Lepisosteus oculatus: one gene and its partners. The main gene of each other region encodes a partner of the protein of the gene in region 3 in a complex. Links are inferred from orthologs where the notes say so. Each region holds a gene or a part of one and is shown on either strand. Other genes may lie near its edges.

Evidence for each region.
Region 1: the proteins of gnat1 (region 3) and pde6gb are in contact, whole or in part, in a cryo-EM structure (PDB 7JSN), measured with the Bos taurus proteins. The link is inferred for Lepisosteus oculatus from reciprocal best matches to the Homo sapiens genes GNAT1 and PDE6G. Residues at the interface, in NP_851365.1 of Bos taurus: Ser140, Arg201, Arg204, Lys205, Trp207, Ile208, Phe211, Asp227, Val229, Glu235, Val236, Asn237, His240, Glu241, His244, Leu245, Ser248, Ile249, Ile281, Phe283, Glu305, Leu306, Met308; in NP_776846.1 of Bos taurus: Arg36, Gln37, Phe38, Lys39, Ser40, Lys41, Pro42, Pro43, Lys45, Leu60, Val66, Ile67, Cys68, Pro69, Trp70, Glu71, Phe73, Asn74, His75, Leu76, Glu77, Leu78.
Region 2: the proteins of gnat1 (region 3) and unc119a1 are in contact, whole or in part, in a crystal structure (PDB 3RBQ), measured with the Homo sapiens proteins. The link is inferred for Lepisosteus oculatus from reciprocal best matches to the Homo sapiens genes GNAT1 and UNC119. Residues at the interface, in NP_000163.2 of Homo sapiens: Gly2, Ala3, Gly4, Ala5, Ser6, Ala7, Glu8; in NP_005139.1 of Homo sapiens: Asp87, Phe88, Val89, Arg90, Phe91, Ile105, Lys106, Lys107, Gly126, Arg127, Phe128, Val129, Tyr131, Phe137, Val147, Glu163, Leu172, Ser218, Tyr220, Asn230.

Annotation. Positions count from the first base shown.
Region 1 is NC_090704.1:42,805,171-42,812,303, forward strand, and holds the start of pde6gb (phosphodiesterase 6G, cGMP-specific, rod, gamma, paralog b), read right to left. Parts: upstream 3,047-7,133; 5' UTR 2,936-3,046; intron 660-2,935; exon of another isoform or gene 565-659; intron 1-564.
Region 2 is NC_090721.1:8,823,692-8,831,427, reverse strand, and holds the start of unc119a1 (protein unc-119 homolog A), read left to right. Parts: upstream 1-4,646; 5' UTR 4,647-4,946; coding exon 4,947-5,247; intron 5,248-7,736. Other genes in the region: crybb1l3 (crystallin, beta B1, like 3), read left to right, coding at 443-575, 1,342-1,484, 1,619-1,787. UniProt on the Homo sapiens protein: Involved in synaptic functions in photoreceptor cells, the signal transduction in immune cells as a Src family kinase activator, endosome recycling, the uptake of bacteria and endocytosis, protein trafficking in sensory neurons and as lipid-binding chaperone with specificity for a diverse subset of myristoylated proteins.
Region 3 is NC_090699.1:54,668,158-54,676,184, reverse strand, and holds the start of gnat1 (guanine nucleotide-binding protein G(t) subunit alpha-1), read right to left. Parts: upstream 3,009-8,027; 5' UTR 2,736-3,008; coding exon 2,630-2,735; intron 1-2,629. UniProt on the Homo sapiens protein: Functions as a signal transducer for the rod photoreceptor RHO. Required for normal RHO-mediated light perception by the retina.

The DNA of each region.
Region 1 (7,133 bases), on a different chromosome or scaffold from region 3:
TTATTTAAAACAATTGTACAATTGAAAACATTGTCAACCATTTCTGTTGTCAACATACCAATCTTCTCAGCTACAATTTGCTTTTATAGACCTTTCTTATTCAGATGAGCAAATTGTTCAAAGCAGTAATAATGTAATTAACAAATTTGGCTTATCCACTCCTAGTTCAAGCACCTAGGGAAATCCTAATGCATTTCATTGTCTCTCTTCATTCCCTCATCCACACAAAAAGCCTTCAGAACTGGTTCACTAAACTGGCCATTAATTCCATTCTTCAGCATCACCTGTAACAACAGCTGCACACTCAACAAAAGGAAACTCTTTTTCTGAGATACAAATCTAAGCAAGATTATATGTCCACTGTGGAACCAAAAATATGAAGTAATAAGAAGGAAGAAGAAAACACAGCAATTTTGGCACTTGTAGTTGTTACTGACTAAGGTCAGAAGGAGAAATGATGATTATTTAAAATAAAGCAATGCCAGTTCAGTTGCTACCACTATCTTTAGCAATATTTATAAACATGCATATTGTTGACAGCATAGCCCATTTGGAAAGCCTTACCTCAGATATATGCTAGATCTAGTTTCTGTTGTTGTGGTCTCTATGGTTCTGAGTGCTACACCCTCCCAGCTTTAATACCTGTTGTACATAAAATGTGCTGAAGTGTCAAAAATCTCTCTAAATCTCTTTAATCTCCAAAAGATGCTCTTCCTGCACAGCTGTTTACATGGTAATCTGAGCGACACGTGCATTTCTCAATTCAATTTGCATCCTCGCACTCCGACAACATCCGACAACACAATATTGTATGCTAATTTTAGGGCCTGTTTAGTTCAGATCTCCTTACACTGAGACAGTTTATCCCTGCATGTGGCTAAACAGATTATAGATGTCTGTTTCATTGTAGTTTAGGTGATCACTTTGATTTAATGAATTTGCTGCCTCTCCTACTGTTCCTTTTTCTTTGTTTTTATGTAAAGAACGTGCTAACCAATATGCAACGTGATCTTAAGTGACAGATAAACCAAGAGACCATTGGGGCTCCATTTAATATCAGGAACCCCTGGGAAATAGCAGCTTGGGAATCTGCAAGCAGAAAACCAGTTTGAACAGAAGTTGGCATACATTCCAATAGGAGTTTCACATATTTGCAGCCTAATATCATTTTACAGTTTTATCAAGATTGCCTTCAGTCAGAGCTATGATGGAGCTAAAAGTTTGTGGAGCTGGATTGTACATTTTATAGTGGTTTTCAGCAGGATTGGAATAAAGGAATTGTTTGACTAGGGAAAGAGACAGAAGGAACAAACCAATTCTGTCTCATGTTCCTCAAGTATATATGTATATAGTCTGCAACCAGAAACATCTGTTTCTTTGACCGGGGGATTCTAAATATCTGCACACTGAATGCACAACCTGCATGCTTTACACAAAGAAATTACATACGCTGTGCAAGATATAACAAAACTCCCTGAAACTGCTTTTATGGACTTTTATTTGTGTTTATTTGTGGTCCCCACCCCTAAAGAAAATAAAAAATTTATCATAATCCATTTCCTTGACAACCATAACTGTTTCAATGTTATCTCTCTTCCTGGATGACAAAAAAACCCTCTTCCTCATACAGGCACATTAAATCTTGTGCAGAGAAAAAATGTAAATTCACTGCCAGAATTTGCTTAAAACATGAACATGCATTGTTTTCTCATATATACTGCATAACTATTACTGATTACCTGTAGGATTATATGGAAAGTGGAAAAAATCTCTGAACTATTAAAAGAAGGAAGTCTACATTATTACTAATAAATTTAAACTAATAAGTTTAAACATTTCACCCTAGAACCCTTCTCTTTAATCAAACCCACTAAATGCACACCCTTCAGTTTCCTAATTTCTCCAAAGAAACATGAACATTTTAATTCCAGCAGGATTTCACCAGCTTTTACGTGAGTATTTACTCAACTGGTACCTGCTCTGCCTTACTGTGTACTCATGAGCTCCGTCTGTGTAAATAATCAGATGTGACCAAAACAATTCACAGCCTTGAAACACTTCAACAGTGAGAGTTTACATATTCCACGCATTTGATGAAAACCAACCTGCTCCACAGTAAGCCTATCCCAGTCAGTCCCATCTAGTTAATCTTCAATAAATCTCAATAAACAACCCAACCTGGATCACCTGAAATGTTTAAATATTATGTCGGGCACATATCAGGAGACGATAAATGGAAGCTAGATGCACATTGTAGCATGCTGTTATCTTGACAAGGTTTTTAGTAATATGCCAGTAAGGCTGCCGGTAATCTGAACTCAGTCCCAGAAAGTACTGCCTGAACTAGTGCTGCCATGTTATAAAGCATTTGGTGCGGAAGAAACACAATACGTTCTATCCCTTTAGACTTCTCCCATCACCCAACTGCATTTGCATCTTGGTGTCACTCTGAAATAGTCCATGTTTCAGGTCTTTGTATGATACATCCTAACCCTCTCTAGTGTTTTATCCCAGAGTCTCTTACCTACTGACTATCTGAATGCAACCTTGTGCAAGGAAAAATGTTCACAGGCTGAATTTACTTAATCCCACTACGTTTTCTACCATGAGAGACAGAAAATACCCAAAGTAAAAAGCACAGTCTACTTCCATTGACCCCTAGGATTGCATGGAAAGTGGACCAAATTTTCTGAACTATGGAGACAGGCTATTTGGTTACAGATAAACTAAACACCTCATCACCTACAGTACCTCATCTCCTTACTCAAGCCAATTGAATGCAAATATTCAAGCACAGCCTCCTCTGTCACTTTCAAATGCCCCTACACTCATGCTTCCCAAGTGCACAGCTACCCAACTTCAGTTGCATCTGTCAGTCTCGTTCCGCCGGAGTCAGCTTTTTGTTCCCTTGCTCGACCCAGAGCCTTGGACTTACCGTCTATGCGGCGGTGACCATTTGCCAGACAAAGGCGAGAGCCCAAACCAGCTCTCACTGGCCGCGGTTTGCTTCTCTAAGCTAGGGTTGCTCTGAGCATGGAGTCTGGCCTGCCTGCCTCTTATACCTGTGCTCGTAAGGAGATTAGAAATGAGCTGTTGATCCGCTGTCATCACAGCTGATACCAACAGCAGGGAGAGATGAGGTGGTGGGGGTGGGTGGGGTGGCAGAGCGCTGGCTGTAGCATGAAGGACACTGTCATCTTACTGGCCTCAGGGTTGGGTCTTAGACGTAGTGAAGCTGCTTTTCCACCATGGTTTGGAAAAATAAAACATTGAATACATTGCCCTAAAGACAAAGGGCTCAAATCACAGCCTGCTGTGTATTATTGGTACAGGAAAGAATAGGAAAGAGACCTGTCAGGTGTATTTGAGCTGTATATTTTTAACAAGATGTGTATTTCTGGAGACAGAAATGTAGAGCTGTATTTTTACAGATTTTGACACTTTAGAGTTTGGAATTGCAGTATAATTTAAAATGTACAGTATCTGTTTATGCCAGATACTGTATCTTTCTTTAACACTCTGATAGACAGTGGAGAAGGCAAAAGTACACTCTTCTTTTATTTTATGTGACATTCAGTTGATGGTGTAAAAGCGTGATGTACTGAGCTTTTATTCTTTCTTTGAGGTCTAATTGATGGATTTGATTTTTTAAAATTTAAGATAACACCTATTGTACTTTTGTCATTTTGTTTTCCAGTAATTGCAGATGAGAGTACAATTTTAGCTTCTCTACATATGATATTGATCAATTAATTGCTGCAGTGCATGGCTACTTTAAGCAAAATCAGTGAATAATACTTTAAAAGCTTAACATGTTTATGGAAAATTTCTTGTATGTTTTTTTAGTGCTTTTACACCACAAAAAATATATATTTGAGCATAGTCTTAAAATTGTATAACTGATAAAAATTGTATTAGTTTATTAGTGTATTAAGTCAAAGTCATATATTTCGATTGCATTTCTTTAGCCTCTTATCATTTTGTAACATGAAATTAAATTGGACACATCAAGAGAAGCGTTCTGTCAGGTTAAGATTTCCACAATCCCCCTCCAAAAATTTGCCCCACGTATAGGAAAAAATGGGTAAAAAAAACAGATTTTTTTCTGTAAAGATTAATGGTTCTCTTTTGTAAGGTCAAACCATACTAAGAGATGGTAACACCAAAACATCTGAATTAATGTTATATATCACATTTTGGCAGAGGTAATCCCCCTCTCCCCCCCTGCCCCCCCACGTTTGAAAACGTAGACGTTTCTGTGCAAAACTTCCTGGGTTTCATTGGTTGCAAGAACTTTCTGGAAAACTCTAGTGTTATGTGAACAGGTGTAGAAACTATTAAGAACTATTATGTAATGAAGACCTTCTGCAAATGTATTAGGAACCTCTTTCTATTCTGTCCTAATAATGATGAACTAGAAACTGCGCTCCTCAGCAGTCCAGAAGATTGAATTAATTAGTCTTGCCAGGTAATCTTTCACGAGACGTGTATGTAAACCTCCATTCAAGTGAAGGATTACACCCTGTGATAATCTTGCCATCACTGAGATGTACTATAATAAATGTCTTAGCCTAATCAGAAAAAAATGATTAGTCCTAAAGTACCAATTCTATTTATTTTCCAATTAGTCTGGTCTGTGTAATTACATTTTGAGAGGCTGTGACCTGGATTATTTTGGTTCATTTACTAATCTGGTCATCTGCATCTGTCCATGGTAACAAAATGAACCCCTGGCATGTCAACAGCCAACTAATTTATAAATAAACTTTGCATCAGCTAAGCGATGCAGTAATGTTGCGCAACCTGTGGAAATCAAGCAGAAATGTTTTGAACTGTGTCTTCAATTGGACATTTGCTTTGATTGTCTTTAACAAATATTGGGCCAGATTCATGAATGTTGGCATCTTGTTATGCTGATGTTTTTGTTTAGTAAGAAAATTACACAGCCTAAATTAGTTCTACAAATACTACAGGGTGCTAATCTAAGAGATCCTAGATTAAGTCTAAATGTTTCTTTTGGATTTTTTAAACATTAGTTGTTTGTCCTTGTATTATAAATGTATTATTGATATGTATAATTATTTCATTTGAGAAAAAAAGTGAAAACAATTCAACTTATTATGTGTAAATAAGTGTTCTAAAAACAAATAAACTTCTGAATTTTGATATTGGCTATCTGTACTATTTTACACTCAAATTAAGATTTGCACTGAAATAATGGAACCAAAAATGCCCTCTTTTTCAGTTTCTTTTACAAAGTAACCATATTCAGGCAGATACAACCTTCTTTATGCAGGGTAATTCATTACAACACTAAGTGTAATGAAAAAGATTACTGTTATTGCTCTTTGGGGTATATAGGACAGTTTCTTATTTCTTCCGTACAATTTGTTTTTATCTTAACATTACATGACCCGTATGTTTTCTGGAATTAATTGAATTATTTATGACGCATATGACTTTGTTCTGTGCAATACTAATACAAATACAGTATATCATTTTAATTTTATTAACATGTTACATTTACCGATCCTTAACCTCTTCTGTTCATTCCTATTTCATCACAGACATGAAGAAATCTGGAGGTCACCACCTCGATACGGCTGTGGAATCAACAGCCCCTGTTAGTTGCCCCAGGCTACTGGGGGCTGGAGTTAGCCATTTCTGCTAGTGCTTTCAGGGCAGATGTCAGAAGGTCTCAATCAATAACTGCACTCAATTACAGGGGATAAATCCATTCACACAAACTGAGATGGATTAGTGAAGAACAAGCCAGACTGCCAATGATTGCACTACAGATGGGTAGCCAATGATTGCACTACAGATGGGTAGACTGGATGAGAAAATTCCCCCCAGGGCAGCAGACAGATTTTAATGCTTGGAGCTAATGTTTTCGTAAAATGCATTTCTTCCAGAGAAAGAATACTAGGATATGGGTGACATATAGAGCACCCAGTGAACATCTAATCATGGGGGAGAACATGCAGGCACCTTACAGAAACACACCCCAAATCCAGGACCCAAGAGCTCACTGCCACACCAACCTCAGCCAGGTCGTGTTACAGGTAATTGAAAAATTAAATCCTGAAAAGGAAGAAACGAATGTTGTAGGTAACATGTTAGGCAATAGCGGCAGGATATCTTCAACAAAACTCTAGTCATGTAGTGTTTCTGATCGGATACAACTAAATAAGACCCCCATGGTACCTTGAACTTTAACTTCACTGAGCTTGGAGCAAATGGATCATTCCCCCTGTCAGCAGGTGATGATCGAAACTAGAAAAACCTCTCAAAAACTGCATAAAGGCAGCCCATTACATCACTGGCCTGCAGTGATTAACAGACAGATAACAGGGAGGACTCAGCACACGTGCAAGGTAGAGAGACACAGTGACACGTGAATCCTTATACCGCTTTCACCTTGCTGAGCTCATTCTCCTTCTGAATACTGTCAAGCGTTCGCTAAGGTCAGTTTGAATACAGTAAAACATCTGACCTAAGTTTAGGTTGTTGATTTTGCATGGGACAAGAACCAGAAAAACATAAGGCAACAGATACACGGACCCATTCATTTTGTGTTGTCATCTCAGCTGCTCTCCACTGCTTAGTAGCCAAAGAAGCTCTTCTGCGGTATTCTTCAACATTGCAACTTGCTTTTGAACAGCCTTTTCAGTGTTTTTTTTTAGTAGCTATTTATGCAATGTTCTTAATTGCACAATATAGAAAGGGAAAGGACAAGCTTCTAAAATCATGTTCTGCAGGACACAACCCAGCAATGTCTTGAATAGAGTTGAATATTTGCTGTCATTAGGAATGAGCTACATTTAGTGGATGTGTTACTTTACTGCCAAATATGGGAAACCACTAAGAATATCTTGTCAGGCTTATATTCGGGTTACCTGAATATGTCAAGAAATTGAATTAAAGAAAAACATGTAACTATTTTTTATAGAAAGTGTACCATAGCTCTTTCAATAACCTAAATATAAATATATTCAGTATTACTGTGTGCTTATAGAATATATAAAACTACTTAATGCAGAGCTACAGTATTTAACATATAAGAAGGTATGGTCATGTCAGAAATCTGCAGCAACAACAGAAGTTTTATAAGTCTAAAAAAGATCATACAA
Region 2 (7,736 bases), on a different chromosome or scaffold from region 3:
ACTGCCTCTGCTGTGATGACGTGGGCTACAGTGCTTCTGTACGTATGGTCTTGGGAGAATATGGTACACGCCCTATGCAAAAAAATGAAGATTTGCCAACCACATCCTTTTGAAAAACACAGAATTGTGTAACCGAACTGCCTGCTTTTTTCTGGTGTGTTCCCTCTTTATTGTAATTCATATTTTTGAGTCAAATGCCTAACCAACATTGCATTCCCAAAGAGTGGGCAATCCTCAGTCAGCACCAATGTGTCAAGAGCACAGGCCGTAAACCCGGTGGTAGATCCACAGCTCTTTAACTCAGAGGCTATGTTTCCTCATCAGGGCTGATGGGTTAGCCTGCAAAGCTGTGAAAGGGAACTTTGCACCAGTCTGTGTTGGCAGGCTGGTAGCTACAGTGGAGTGTTTGACGCCATTTTGTTGTCCTCCTGTTGTTGTCCAGCTGGGTTGGGTACGACCAACAGAACTTCACCGGCGAGATGTTCATGCTGGAGAAGGGAGAATATCCCCGCTGGGACACCTGGACCAACAGCTACAGAAATGACCGGTTCATGTCCTTCAGGCCAGTCCGTATGGTGAGCTCTCAGGCCTCTCTCTGTTCTGTCACACCGGGACGTTGTCATTAATAGTTCTTATATTATATAATAGTTCTTCTTATTATAAAGGCGCCTTCCTTCAGATGAGACTAAAACTGAAGTCCTGACTCTCTGTGGTCGTTACAAATCTCAGGGCATTTCTCGAAAAGAGTAGATAGATAGATAATACTTTATTAATCCCGTAGGGGTATTACCCCTGTGTCCTGGCCAAATTTCCCCCTGGCCTTTACCAGTCATGGCCTCCTAATAATCCCCATCTCTGAACTGTCTTCATCGCTCTGCTCTCCTCCCCACTGAGAGCTGGTGTGTGGTGAGAGGACTGGCACATCATCCAGGTGGGGCTGCACACTGGTGGTGGTGGAGGGGATCCCCATTACCTGTGAATCGCTTTGAGTGGAGTGACCAAAAAAACACAATATAAGTGTGAGGAATTCATTAATTCTTTTACAATATGAGATGGGAGATGGGGGATAACCAAGTCTATGCTGCCTGCTTCTTCAGACAGATGACTTTTAATCTGCATAGAGAGGCTTAATGAGTGTTGTTTTTCAACACAGTCATACGTTCAGTATGACTTAAGTTCACAACATGCATCAGCAGAGACCTGGTTCCTACAAGCATCGGGATTACGCAAGAAGGGCGCTGCAGAGTCTAGCGCCTGGAATGCAAAATTGTGCAAAAACTCTTTTCGCGTGAAAGAAAAAGTGGTGCTTTGACAGCAGCCCCCGGACTGCTCTCTCTCTAGGACGCCCAGGACCACAAGATCTGCCTGTTCGAGTGCGTGAACTTCGAGGGGCGCAAGATGGAGGTGTGTGACGAGGATATCCCCAGCCTGTGGTCTTATGGCTTCCAGGACCGCGTGGCCAGCATCCAAGTCATGGGGGGAACGTGAGTCTCAATCAGTCGTCAGTCTGGAGTTCATATAGCGACTTTCCATGGCGATCCTAGGCTTGGGCTTCGTCTTCTCCGCAGGAGGCTCGTGAAGGCACAGCTCTCACTCTCTCTTCTCCCTCTCTCCGTAGCTGGGTGGGGTACCAGTATCCCGGTTACCGTGGCTACCAGTACGTCTTCGAGTGTGGGCCCTACAAGCACTGGAACGAATGGGGCGGCCAGCACCCCCAGATCCAGTCCATCCGCCGAGTGAAGGACATGCAGTGGTACCGCCGGGGCTGCTTTGAGTTCACGGCCTGAGGAAAGGCCACAGTGACCCCAGTGGTCCGCCCGCCCCCGGGCCGACACACTGGAGCTCCACACACAGCTGAGCTCCCTCTGTCCACCCCTCACAGACCAGCCATCACCGCTGTTAGTGTCATTACTGGGAACAGCTCTGCTTGCAGACGGGGGGGAGCCACTGATCCTTAGTCAAAAGGAGGTCGGCTAGTTCATAAGGCAGTGCTTGCGATTCGGCCCTCTGCCAAAGTTATTGCCCAACTCTGAAAGAAGACTGGAGCCACAGTGTTTCTTGCTTACTGGACATATATAATTGATTTTTTTTTATCCTCATAATGACAACAAAAATAATTATAATAATGATAAGAACAGCGCTTGATGGGTTGGTTTGTGCATTCTGTTTCGGGAGCTAAAGAAATTCCCCTTCTGCAAAATTGGACTTTTTAAAAATAGTGATTTTTTATTTATCATTATCATACTTCATATACCATTTAGCCTTTGTTTTGTTCAGTTGTTTGTTTTGATTTCAGTCCATCCGTATTTGAAACATAACGCAATTGACAGAAAGTGTAACAGATAAGTTATATTTAACCATGGAAAGTTCGGAAATGCTTAAGTAAGTGAAAATCCACCCTCAGGACTTTTCCTTGTGGCTTACTTCTGACAGGAGGAAAACCAATACTCGGTTTTTTCAATGAAAAGCGAGTGAGTCTTTGCGATTTAATGTCTCCAAAGACAAGCCCTGCAATCACATGGCCAGCAGAGGGCAGTGTTTCCTGAACTTCAGTACCAGGACTCGTTCTCTTCACAACTGTGACCTCTGTGGTTGTCCATGTAACTTTGACCCTTAGGGCAGGGCCTTCAGACCTCCTCACGCACGGAGGACCCGTGTGCGTTTGGATTTGTGGCCTGATTACACCCTCAATTATTCTGATTGCACACGGGATCTCGTTCAGCGTTTCCCAGCCAAAATCGGTTCATGAAAGGGGTGCCGAAGCTCCTGATGAGATCACACTAAAAATGTGTCTGTTAGGTAGCTGGGAAATTGAAGGTCAAAGGGCCCTTTGGCAGCAGAACTGAGGTTCCCTGCTGCCGACAGGCATGAGCACATATCTGGTGCTCTTTGGGGAGATTAGGAAAAGGGGGTGCAAATTATAGACAGAATGAAGTAACTGCTGCTGAAAATGGCTGGGGAGCCCCAAGGGAAAGCTGCTGCCTATCCTTCTCTTTTGCAAGGGGGGCGATCCTAGAGATTCTGGCAAAGCCGTGTCTTTCTCAGGGATGCTGGTATCTGGAAATCTGAGGCTTTTTTCAGGGCCTGGAAAAAGAGAGATTCCGAACCTCGACGCTACTGCATGTCGCAGCCAGAGACTCCTGCGCTTAGATTTTATTTCTGCTTTTATTATTTTATTCACCCGTTCGCGTCCCCCACCCCCCTCACTGCCAACTGCATTTAATTTGTGTATCCTATTCCTGAATAAATGTGGACAGTCTTTTAACGACACATCTTGAGTCTGGTTTCTGAACGAGCCCTGAATGTTTCCCCGAAAAACAAACAAACAACAACAACCGAAGTTTTCCCCGCGCAACACCGACAGCGAGCGCGGTCTCGGCGAAGTATGGCAGCGCCGTGTCTCTTGAGCGTCGCCGCCCACCGCGGTACTCACGGGATCCGAGAGAGCACAGCGCAGGGGGGCTTCCTACAGGAGCCAGCAGCGAGGGGCGCATCCGACATTCTGGGCTTCTCCCTGAAACACACCACCAGACTGAGAGACAGCATGTTAATTATAATAATAATTGCTGACACTTATATAGCGCTTTTCTGGACACTCCACTCAAAGCGCTTTACAGGTAATGGGGATCCCCTCCACCACCACCAGCATCCACCTTAAGCGGATGTTAAGCGCAGGGGAGATCGTCTTTGTCATTGCTGGAATTGATCACATCGACACTCGCGGTTTCGAGGTGCTTCGCCAGGCAGGACAGCTCCGGCGGCTGGGATGACGGCAGGCGGGGATTGTATCGAGGCGGCTGGTCGTCGCTCAAATCCGGGCGTTACTGCGGCGGGTGTCATGTCTGAACTTCAGCGCCGCCGCCGCCGCCGCCTGCACTGACATTCTGTTCGTTTCGGACTCATCACACGGATTTATCCAGAAGTTCAGCGAGATCCTCAGAGCTCCTCAGCGCCGGAGACGGGGAGCGAAGGCTGTAGCGCAGAAACACCACATTTCAGTGACTTATCTTGGGCTACACTTTGAAAATTAAAAGTAGATTAGCCCACTTGTTTCCTGCGATATTTTATTGTCCCGACTTTTGCACTTCCTGAATATATACTGTATGGGGGGCATGAAATGCTATTCACAAGGGCTGTGTGGTGTAGCTGTAATAAATAAATGGTGGATGTTAACTACGTAACACATTTCTATTCAATATTTTGGTCGTAATCCTCATAATAAATAGGGCGACGTCTTGAGCAGATTACTGCAAACTGCGTGCCCGTGGAAACGTTCAAAGCCAAGCTCTGAGACACGGGTACATCGCTACCCAAACCCACTGAGCGAAGAAAAAAAAAACGACAACTTCTCCTCAGCTTCCTGCCAACGCAGAAAAATGGGCCATACCACAAGTCTGAGAGGGGAGGTTTCGGTACAGAGGCAGATACATTTCACGATTATCCAGGCGTGAATGGCGACAAACACGTCTGAGTCTGGCTGCAGAATCTGTCGTTCGCCGCCCCAGACGTGCGCCGGTCGCTCCGGCCGCTGGCGCTACCGCCGTTGTGACACCAGAAATAAAGGCTTCTCCCTTTCCGAAAGCCGGGGAAACTAAGTGGGACCCCACTGTGTACAAGAGCGTGTGCATGTCTGTGGCGTGTGCGCGTCCGTCAGTGTCTGTGTTGCGGAGAGACCGCTTCCTTTGCGTCTCGGCCGGAGAGAGTGGCGCTCGGCGAGCTAGCGCTCAACACAGAGCCGGCACAGGCGCAGTCTGGCGCGGGCGGCGGATGCTCTGGGCAGTCGCTGGCCGAAAACGGAAAGGATCTGTAGAACAGGGGGATTTAAATAAAATACCGAGCGGGCGCACTAGCAGCGAAGCGACTGACGGGAGCGAGCGAGCGAGCGAGCGAGGGAGAGAGAGGGGGGAGAGTGTTTTGTATCTTTACTAGTGGGGGGGAGGAGGAGAATGAGCTATTCTTGTATCGGCACAGAGGCTGTCTGCAATAGCCAGGACTCATCCAGCAGCAGCGCTCAGAGGTCTGGCACTAGTAAAAGCAATAATCCCAGCGGTGGCAGCGGCAGAAGCGCGGAGAGCAGCGACCACCAGACCCAGGACACCCCGACCCCCAAACCACTCGTGGCAATGAGAGTGAAGAAAGGCTGTAACTCCACCGAAACAGGGGTCCCGGTCACCACGGAGGAGGAACTGCTCAGGAAACCCGTGATCACCCCCGAGGATGTGCTGGGGTTGCAGAAGATCACCGAAAGTAAGTGGCGTCGGTTATTGCAGTTATCGTCATCGCTGTCGCGGCGTCCGGTCTTAAAGGATGCCCGTGTGCGCGGTATCTCGCTCCGGTAATGTTCGGCACCCGAAGGGCGGACGGGGACCGTATTTCCTAGGTGCCACATTGGGGCGATACCGACGGGGTAGCTAGAGTCTGCGACGTCGCTGCTCGGCTCTTCCGTGGCGTGGAAACTCTCATCTGCACCCGTTGTTTCCTGTCTGAACGGATCAAATACAGCCCGTCAGGGGTCGGAGTTTCACCGCAGATCGGTAGTTTTCTGTTCAGGGAAGACCTGGTTAGTTTGGCATAAATGTGCGCTTTAAAGAGGAGTGCAGTAGGAGTTCAGCCCCGATATAGAAACAACCTTGGCACCCCCACTTGAAACCGCTACACCTTAGCAGCGCGATAACCAGGATGAGGAGCACAGTTGCTGTTATAAACGCTACCCCCGGTTTGGTGGTTGTTAGCATCTCGGAGCTCCGTATCTCATGTACAGCTTGACAATCTGTTTCCCAGTAGGTCTCCCCCGTGCATTACAGCCGACGGGTATGATTGTGAAGGGGCGAAACCTCTTTCACAGCCCTCATTTACCTGAGAGGCTGAAGTACAGACCGCTGTTGAGCGACAGCTCACAAACACGGCGAGAGCTCGCTCATACAGTGTGTTCCCAGCCATTTCCTCTTGATCCGCTATAGCGTTATCATTAAACGCAAGCAGAAACTGATCTTATACCGCTGCCCGGTTCCTGATGTTGGTTTTCACGTTAAATGTCTTTCCAAACCCCTGATATTTCAGGGAGCGCAAGAGTGTGTGTTAACACGGACGGGAAAAAGGCTGCCAGGTTTTAAGACGGATCTGTAATGGACATGTTATAAGCGGCTTCCCGACACTGGACTCGCAGCCTTCTGCGATACAGTGGGCTGGAAAGGGAGACAGAGAGCCTTATGTAATTTTCCATTACAGAAAACGCAAAGGTTTTCCGACCGTTCCTCGACCTTAAATACTTAGGATTGACTTCAGAATATGTGGATATGTTAATAAAATAATAGAAGATATAATCCTGGAAATAAAACAAATGTGTTCCCAAGCGGACAGGGGTGAGACAGACAGCGAATACGTTGCCACATTCACACCGGGTCTGCCACTGGAAGGAAAATGCCTGCCGGCAATAAGGGATTAGTCACTCGTTATCTTTCTCCCATAGTCTCATCCCGCAGTCTCTCTCTCTCCCGCTGCGTGAGTGTGCATGAACTGTGCATGTTTCTGCGGAGACTGAGCCACAGTGTCCCAACAGCGGTAACGAGTGACATGACGCGTGTGCAGGTGCGCACACGCAGAACCGCGAGTGTCGCATCCCGAGCGGCGCCGGGCCGCTCTGTGACTGACCTGACCCTGGGTAGGCAACAGGTGGTCGCATGGATCGAGAAAGGCGGGCCCTGGCTATTTTAAGAACCGCGGAAGATGTTACACAACGCACAGCCGCCGGTTTTATTCCGGCCTGTTTCTGAGCGATTGCTTTTGGTCTGCTTTGGCAGTGCCCAGCGCGGGCTCTGCGGGGGCCGTCTGTTTAACCCCCCCCCACCCAGCGTGGCTGAGTGATCAATCCTTCTATCTCCCCAGTTTCTCATTCGATCCATGTTCGACACACAGTGACAGTCACGGCACGTCCACCCGCGTTCCCGGCGCAGAGAGACCATGTTGGAGTTTCCAACTGACCATGACTGGTCCCAGATTCTTATTTCCTGCCCTTCTGAATCAGAACAGATTGGTTGGGGATGGGTGTCACTGCTCAGGCCGGTATTAAGGATCTGTCTTGGAAGCCCTACTGGGGCAGGTTAGGGGCATCGGGCAATCATGAGGTTCAGAAACGCTCCTGTTTTATTTAAACGTGATAGTACTTTCTATACAGTGTACTTTTTGGAACTGGGTCTAATTGTTGCGCTTGTTTAATTTTAATCTAAGTGTGGCTTCTACCTTCGACCATATGACAACTTAAGTGAGTCTGTAGGTCACGAACTATTATCCTCAGCAACGACATAGTAATTACGAGCGTTATTAAATATGGTATAACAGTATGGTTCGGTGATTTATCGGTGCAGGTAAGTTAAAAAATGTCTTTTCCAAAGACAAACAGCAGTCAAAATTATGGACATGAAGCAGCTCTCCTCCTCACAGACAATTCTTAAACAGTCCATTAGACAGGCAGAAAGAAATCATTTTCTTAATTCTAAATATCAACTTTTAGGGCTCCCAAATGTAGATCAAATTGATAAAAATATTTGTTTGTTCCCTTATCTATTAAAGCAATTAAAACATTATAAATGGTTGAATGATTATGCTGTAACAGACTATGTCCGTGCATTATGTCATGTCAGTGTTGTGACGAGTTATGCACATGCAATACTGTAGATGCGATGTGTAATGTTTTGTGATGTGGAGCGTTGTGCGTCCTTAACATTTTTCCCTTAGAG
Region 3 (8,027 bases):
TCTTAAGTAAAACTCACAGAGTTTTTGCATTATCTGTGATGTTGCATGCATTGAGTATCGTACATATGTTAATGTAAGCTAATAGTAGCCTATTCGTGAACAAAAAGAAATATTCAAATGATTGTGGAAAGAAATATTGGCAATTCTACAAAACAGGATTTTGAATTTGCAGTCCAGCATAGAGGACCTGTTGTAAAAAAGGTGTTTTGTTTTCACACCATTTGCAACTAAAGAATGACAGTGTCTGTATTCATTTGTATCAAAGTAAGTCTTATAGTTAGCGTGAATTCACACAAAAACATTTCTTAAATATGGAAGGCCTCAGCCAGTTTCCCAACACAGAGTGTGTCTGTGTACTTTGCATTTGGGACATTTATAAATAACAAGAGAGTATAGTGTCCAGATAGAGGAGCTACAGGTTTTTAAACATGTACCGCTAGCAGGGATTGTGATAAGGGCATGCCAAGCTAATTATTTCTGGACTAAGCCTTTTAAGTCAGGACACAGATAGAGTGCGTCATGGGGAGCTCTTTAAGCACTCTTTTATCTCTTGATCCATATTTGCATGGGATACTTCGAGTCACTAAATATCGATCACAGCAGAAGCTATTTCTCGCCTTAATAGGTTTTTTACAACCTGTGGGTATCCCCACGGCTGGTCTGGATATGATACAGTAGCCCAACAAAAATAAAGCCCTCATGCTACAGATGATTGCTGCCTCCTCTAGTTGTGTTCTGAATAGACTGCTCTGAATATCTGTATAAAAATGAAACTCTTGTCATTTTGACTTCTCTACAGAAATCTGAAGCCTCAGTTACATTGTACCAGTCTGGAGGATAAACACATAGCAGGAAGGCCCAACCTGGGCACTGAATACTGTATGTCCAGGTATGTGTTGAATCCTTACTTAACATTCTGGTCCTGACCTAAGTAGAATTACAAAGAGCTTTTTTTTAAGTAACCCACTTATGTCTTTCAATGTACTGTAACAATGGTTTAATATCGGGAGCGTGTCTTTCAGAGTGAACACTACTACAAAAAATAAATTAAAATTATCAACTTATTTCACACATTATGAAATGGAAAGAATGTCTTGTTTCTCCAATAAAAGTGTACTAGCTCAAAGTGTACTGTAGAATACAGAATACAATAGTACAGAATGATTAACAATAAAATGACATATGTAACAATATACAGCATACAGTATTATCCTTTCTACGTATAAGAAGAAGTGACCATAACATCAGCTGTGTAGTTCAAATAAATTTTAGGAGTAAGACTGTAGTTCCTGCCGATTCATAGGCATAAATACGGGCCTCTAGTCCAATGTAGTGTTTTTGGTGTTAATACATCTCTTCCACCCTAATTCACCACCACTAAGCCAGCAAAGAGAGAACAATGACAAAAACCACCATAGGAAAAGCCTAAGAACAGCTGAGCTTCCAGCCTCAAGAAAGGTTTTAGGGTGTATTTTACTTAATCATGTGTTTCTGAGGTGTTACACAGGAGTACTGGGTTTGTCTGGTCAAGGCTACTGCATATGATTTTGTTGTAATCACATAGTGATATACAGTAAATAAAGGATTTTTTTACATTCCTTAGAACATTATTTAACAATATCTGTTAGGATATATTTGAGTTTTAAATGTTGTTAGTGAATGCATTTAAATAATTTGAGCACATAATTGGGATTAAAGCATTGTTTGGCTTGAGGCCGTTAGATGGTGTCAGGGTTCCTCATTTTACAGTGATTTATTGTACATCTTTACCCAAATGCGGTGGACATGGTTTAAAAGCCTGTAGGGTTCATGAGATTACTGTAGGTTGATACATTTGGAGAATGTAGGACTTGTTGTTTCCAAGTAGGGGAGTATTGTGACTAGTTCCAAAATGAATCAAACACAAATTCAGAGCTAGAACAGGCCGAAAAGCAGCCACTTACATTTAGATGTAGTGGTAAAAAGGAGTCACTGTAGCTTTAGAACATTGAGGCTACATTTTCTCTGTACCTTTTTAAGGTGTTAGACAGATATTTGCATTTTGCTTTCCAAACTTTTTTGCAAAAAAGAAACGCGTACAACAATAACCTTTGCACTGTATTTTTGCCTTATTTTGTTAAGAAAATTCTGGTCCGAGCAAATGTATACCACATTATCTTTGCTTTTTGAAAACAAAATCATCTGCCACACTGTTGGAGATATGAAAGCAAGATGCTATTGTAAGCCAATTATCTGATTGTAGACAGCAACAAAAATACAGGCAGAACACCACTAGATTTAAATGAGCCTATCTTTCCAAAGAAACCCACCATCACTTATTCTAATCCAAAGGATAGTCAAACAAACTGCAGTTCTGAATGCCACAGAATCCTAGGAAAGGTGTCTCCTGATTTCATGCCCAGGAAAAGATTTGCCCAGTAGATTTTTTTTTGCCTAACTAACTCTTAAGATTAGTGAATTCCACAGAATGCAAGTGAATTCTGTACAACCTTCACCAGTAGTGTAAACCCTCAGAACAAACTCCCTCAAAGCAGAGTCTTATTGGTTTTCCCTCTTGCACTAGATAGGGGAAACAAGAAAGCTTATATTAGTAAACACAGCGCCTTGCCCTGCACAAGTCAGACTTTACCCAGCAGCAGCAGTTTGACAGTCCTGGCATCCTTGTCCGCATCTTCCTTGAGCTTCTTCTCCAGCTCTCTGGAGTGTTTCTCCTCAGCGCTGGCACCTGCTCCCATCCTGGAACCTTTGGGCTTGTTTTTTTGACCGACGAGAATGAAGTTGGGGAGTTTTTCTCAATGAGATCAAAAATGAAATTGGGGGGGAGGGGGGGAGGCCTCAGGTGAGTCCTTGATGGCCGGTTCACCGTCCGAAGCCTTCTCTGGCCTCAGCGACGCAGCTGGGACATCAACTGCCTCTCGCTTGCCTGCAAATGTCGGCGTCTTTTACTTCTTAGACGGATTTCGTGTACCCCTGGAGTCACCTGGTTCTCGGCAGCCAACAGGAGACAAGGACAGGGTAGTGAGGGGTAACTAGGAAAAAGTGAAAGGATGGAGGGGGGAGGTGGGGCAGGAGAATTAGAAAAAGATTTAGGCAGAGTTTGCTTTGCTCAGCTGAAGGTGCAGAATGTGATGCAGTTAAGTCGACTAAACCGCTTACCTTCAATTATATACACACGCATGCTCATTAAGCAGTGCATAGGCAGTGTAACAGTGCAAGGCTTTTAATTGCTCTGTGCACGCTGTAGTTTAGTTTAATGCTTGGATAGGGGAAATCGGACAACCTGATTCATGGAAGATGAGGTGACTTGTGTTATAGAAGCTAATGAACGGTTGAAGCCTTTGATCTCGCACACCTCAAAGGCTATTGTAAAGCCTGTTGAAAGGAATTCAGTCCTTAAACACAATTTTTCTAATATGAAAGTAATCTAGACTGGTGCGGAGTTGGGGCCTGAACTGTAGTAATAAACATTGCAAACTGTGGTGCTTGACATACTGATGGAAAAGTAGACAATTGATAATTGTCCAGAAGGAGTTTAGTCATCTGTAGAGTGGGAAGTAAATGTTATTGAATTGTATTGAAAAGTGCTCTTTTTTTCAGTGTTGGGAATGGCTTAATGAGGAGATATTGAATAATGCATGAAACCCCAGAGTGCCTCTTTTTTATGAATCCATAAATTAGGCATTCATTTATAGTGATGGGGAAGGGACACACAGCCCTTGAGTACTGGGGTAATAATGTGATAGATTCAACATACAAAAACACTAGATGTGTGTGAGAGAGAATGGGCTTGACATACAGGTCTCCATCTCAGCCATTTTTGGTGTCATCTCGACCTCACACTTGATACCCATGGTCCTCAGAAACAGGCTGCAATGCTAAGGTCACTGACGATACACTCTGTCAGAACTGCAGGCAGGCCAGTCCTTCTGACAGCAGCCCAAGGTGTAGAAAAGGGATATCCACTTGTCTCTTTACATGTTTTCATTCAATACCAGTACTGTATGTGATTCAAAGTGAGTCAAAAATAATCTTGCTAAATCTGTGTGAAGTGTCTTAAGATTTAAACAGTGGCTGTATGAACAGTTTTCAGGACACACAAACCTGTGGTGACAGCTGTGCCATTCTTCACAAATATTAAAAAGGTCTCCATTTTAAGAGCATGGTGTTTTTCGTGTCATTGTATTGAAATGGCAATGAATTTAGAATCCCCCTTTCCCTCCTTGTGTTATCACTGCAGATTGAAGGAGTTTTTCAAGGCTTACTCCCAAATCTCTTGAGGTGCTTAAAGGGGAGCTTTAATGTCTCACCTGCCAGCTCTTATTGACCTCAATCTGTGGATGCAAAAAGAGCTTTATCCACAGCCTGTCCTAGAGGGTCTCATTGAAGAGACCTTCATCCTCCAGCTGAACTGACTATAGCAGGATATTTATATATATTTATATATAGTTCAGGTGGGTACCTGAAGAAGGCTCCACGGCCGAAACGTTGTGTTCTCTTTCTTCTTTTTTTCAGCATGGAATAAACCTATTACTTGTTCCTCAGTTTTATTATGTGCAATATTGAGGCAGAAATGTGAACACCTTGTTGACAATTTAGTGATTGATTTCCCTGCATGTAGTGCTAGCAGTCTTGCAGTGAAAAGTGCTGTCAGCTCTCAGGTTTTTACCTAGTGGCATCACCTTTTGTCAGACATTTGATATTAATATGAGAAAATGACTGCAGAATATGGTGCGAACTATCTGTCACAGGAGAATTTGGATAGAATTAGTGTGAAACATTTTGGAAAGGGTGAACAAATGTGAGAGTGCTGTGAACTGAATGATACCACTGTCTGCTGTCTGAGAGAACCATGTGACCAGAATTGATATGCAAGGACAGTCGACAAAGGTTGCTCTTCCTATTATCCACAAAGGTTTGCAAAGTGCCCTAGGGCAGATGTTCAGTAATTAACACAAGACTCTTGCAAATATGCCAGGCTTCTCTTTTGGTTCCTTTATGGCTCCCAGCACTGGTGTCATTCAGCACCATGACAACACACACCCTCACAGGGAGCAGTGCATGGAGGAGCTTGCTGTTGAAAGGTGACTAGACCAGTCAACCTATTGTATGAGCTGTTGTGGTGGGGGGGGTCTCATCGTCCCCACCTGTGAAGCATATTTGGTAGAAATTTAACTTTCATAAATTCCCTTAATGATTAACTGTCGTAGTGGAATAACTTTAATACCTATAGTGCCTCTGCCTTTTATCATTAATTTGTTGTCATTAGTTCTAGCTGTTTGCTAGAACAAAAGCTAGTCCAGTGCTTTTGTGAGATAAAAGAAGGTGATATTGAAAGGTTTACATTGTTCTGGAGGTTTTTCTATGCAGTAAAGGTTGTGTTAGTGAGGTGGTTAAGGAGGCTTCTTGTGATTATTATACTTGTGACAGACAGCGAGGCAATTCTTCCATCATTTCTACAGTTTTTCATTTACCTGTGCGCATAAAAACATTCCATTCTTAATCTGAAACTGAATTCTTAAATCAGTTAACATGATGTTATTCACCAAATTTACATTTATAATGTTTCAAATGTGTATCCTGCTTTGCGGCCGTAGTTTGCTGAGATAGGCCTCAGCTCCCCTGTGACCTTGTATTGGAGGAAGTGGTTAGAAAATGGATGGATACGTCACATGCTCAAAATGTAGTTGGCATTCACTGTAGTTGACACATTAAGACTTAGGAATTTTTCAACAGCTGTGTTCCTCGGTAAACCATGGTACCATTGAATAAAATCACAGTGCAACCTTCATGCTGCTTTAACCAGTCCAGTCCAAATCCGTTATGTATCATCCTGAGAAAGATACAATACAGAATGTGTTGTGTTCTGTTCCTTCAGTTGTATACTGTTCAGTCAAACATCTTCATCATCCAGGGCAGATGGTTAGTGGCTAAGTGGCTCGTGACAATTTCAGATTGCAGCTGTCGACATTTTTTAAAATCAGAATCAGACATTTCAAGATTGACGGGTATCAGCAACGTCTCACAACTCCCTCAGCATGCGCTCAATATTGAAATGTAACTTGGGTGATGTTGGACTAATGAATTTAGATATGAAAATGGCTGCACTGAAATATCAAAATGCAGCCACAAAGTTCTACTGGTTTGGTTACAAATTAAACCTGTTAAGCCCAAACTTTGTATTGATTATCTTGGGGCAAATAGAATTATAATGCTTAAAAATCATACTGCTGTGTAAAGTAACTGTTGTAATAACAGGTATCAGGTATCATCCATGCACAATAGTATTCAAATTCTGGAATGAAATTAATCAACAAATTAATCAACATTTTTCCTAAACTGCTGTTTTATCCTTGGTAAAATGTGATTCATATTACTTTTCTATATTTTTTTATCTTCCCTGATTACACTAGTCATGCTGATAAGTATGATAACGAATACTGTAATTATATCATAATAAATACTGTGAGTCTTTGCTGCCATCTTGTGATTATTAAACTGAACATAGCAGTCTTTTTTTAGACAACTACATTTCTAAATTGGTCATCATCTTTGAAAAGGATACTGTAACTCTTTATAGACTTACAGTGGAAATACTACTTCCAGCAGCAACAGTATTTGAATTTTCTTTTTTATTCTAACTAAAATCAGTGTAGGTAAATATTACCAATAGTTAAACACTTGTACAATGCTGCAGTTTAATTTTGAAAAGCGATAGGAAAATAGGAGGCAACTTTTCTGGCTTATGGGGCTGGGGGATTCGTCTTAAAATGTATTACCATCTAAACAATCATTTCTTCTTGCATCTTAAAATAACAATAAATCATTTTTTTACTACTAATGAAGACATCATTAATAGTAAGAACACTATCCTTTGTGTTATATGCTCCTCTTTAGTTATTTATGGGGTCACAATGTCTAGTGAAACAGAATCTCCGTCAATATGAAGTACTGAAATGCATTTCATTCTAATTAGCACAACCTATTAATTATAATTATTGTCTAATGTTTTGCATGTCCCCACTAAGCATTCATGTCTCAGTAAAGAGTTTGAAAAACATTTGAATTCTGAGGCTGAAGCTTATTTGATTTGAATTATTTTGAAGATCCCAAGAACACGATGAAGCAAGCAAAAACTGAGACCACATTTTCAGTAGTCATTTAATTTTGTGCTATTTGTTAACAAATCATTGGTTTATTTTTAAATGTACTTTTCTGCTAGTCTCCTTTTCAACTTGCTGCTTTAGAACTAACTATGCCATGTGTACCTGAGTTCAATGGCTGATAAACATTTCTGTCCTTGGAAACCTAAATTAAGAGTACTAGCAGCAAATGTAAAAGTAACTAAAGTGAATTTCATTAAAATTTGTATCCAATTGCTCATCTGTTCTTTGTATTCAGTTTTTATCTTAAATAACACAGGCTGCTAACATGTCATATCTTGTTTAAATTTCATGAAAAACCCTAGTAAACTCAGTTTGCCTGCCCGTGCTCATTGTGAGAAGTACTTTGATCTCCAATTGACCAAGGTATGTACAGTAGTATCCAGTTTTGAATAATATAGCATTCAGGAATTATTTTACTGGAAACAGTTTCTGTATTCTTATGCATTTCACAATAGCATTCAAAAAAGTTTATTTTTGTAATAACTTGTAAGGACAGTCTCTTAGGCTTGTGTTAAAGGGAACACTTTTCTCTTACACTGTATCGTGAGTGTTGTCTAGTGGACAGTGTTCTCTATCAGTTGGAATCCGGTTATATGGGTGACAAAGATCGTCATTTCCATCAAATCATGTTCAAAGTTTCTTGCTGCAGTTGTCTCATTTGTAGTCATGGGCAGTTAAGGTACAACAGTGTTGGTAGAGTTTGCATTGAAACAGGATAAGGACATCTGGCCTAGATGTTGCTATTTTGTTGATCACGAGGGTGACAATTGAGGATCTCAGATAAAAAACTAAACAGAGATGTTACTTTTGACAGGTATTCAGTTATGCGTGCATATTCCGTCCATCTGTATCTTTAGTGATGTT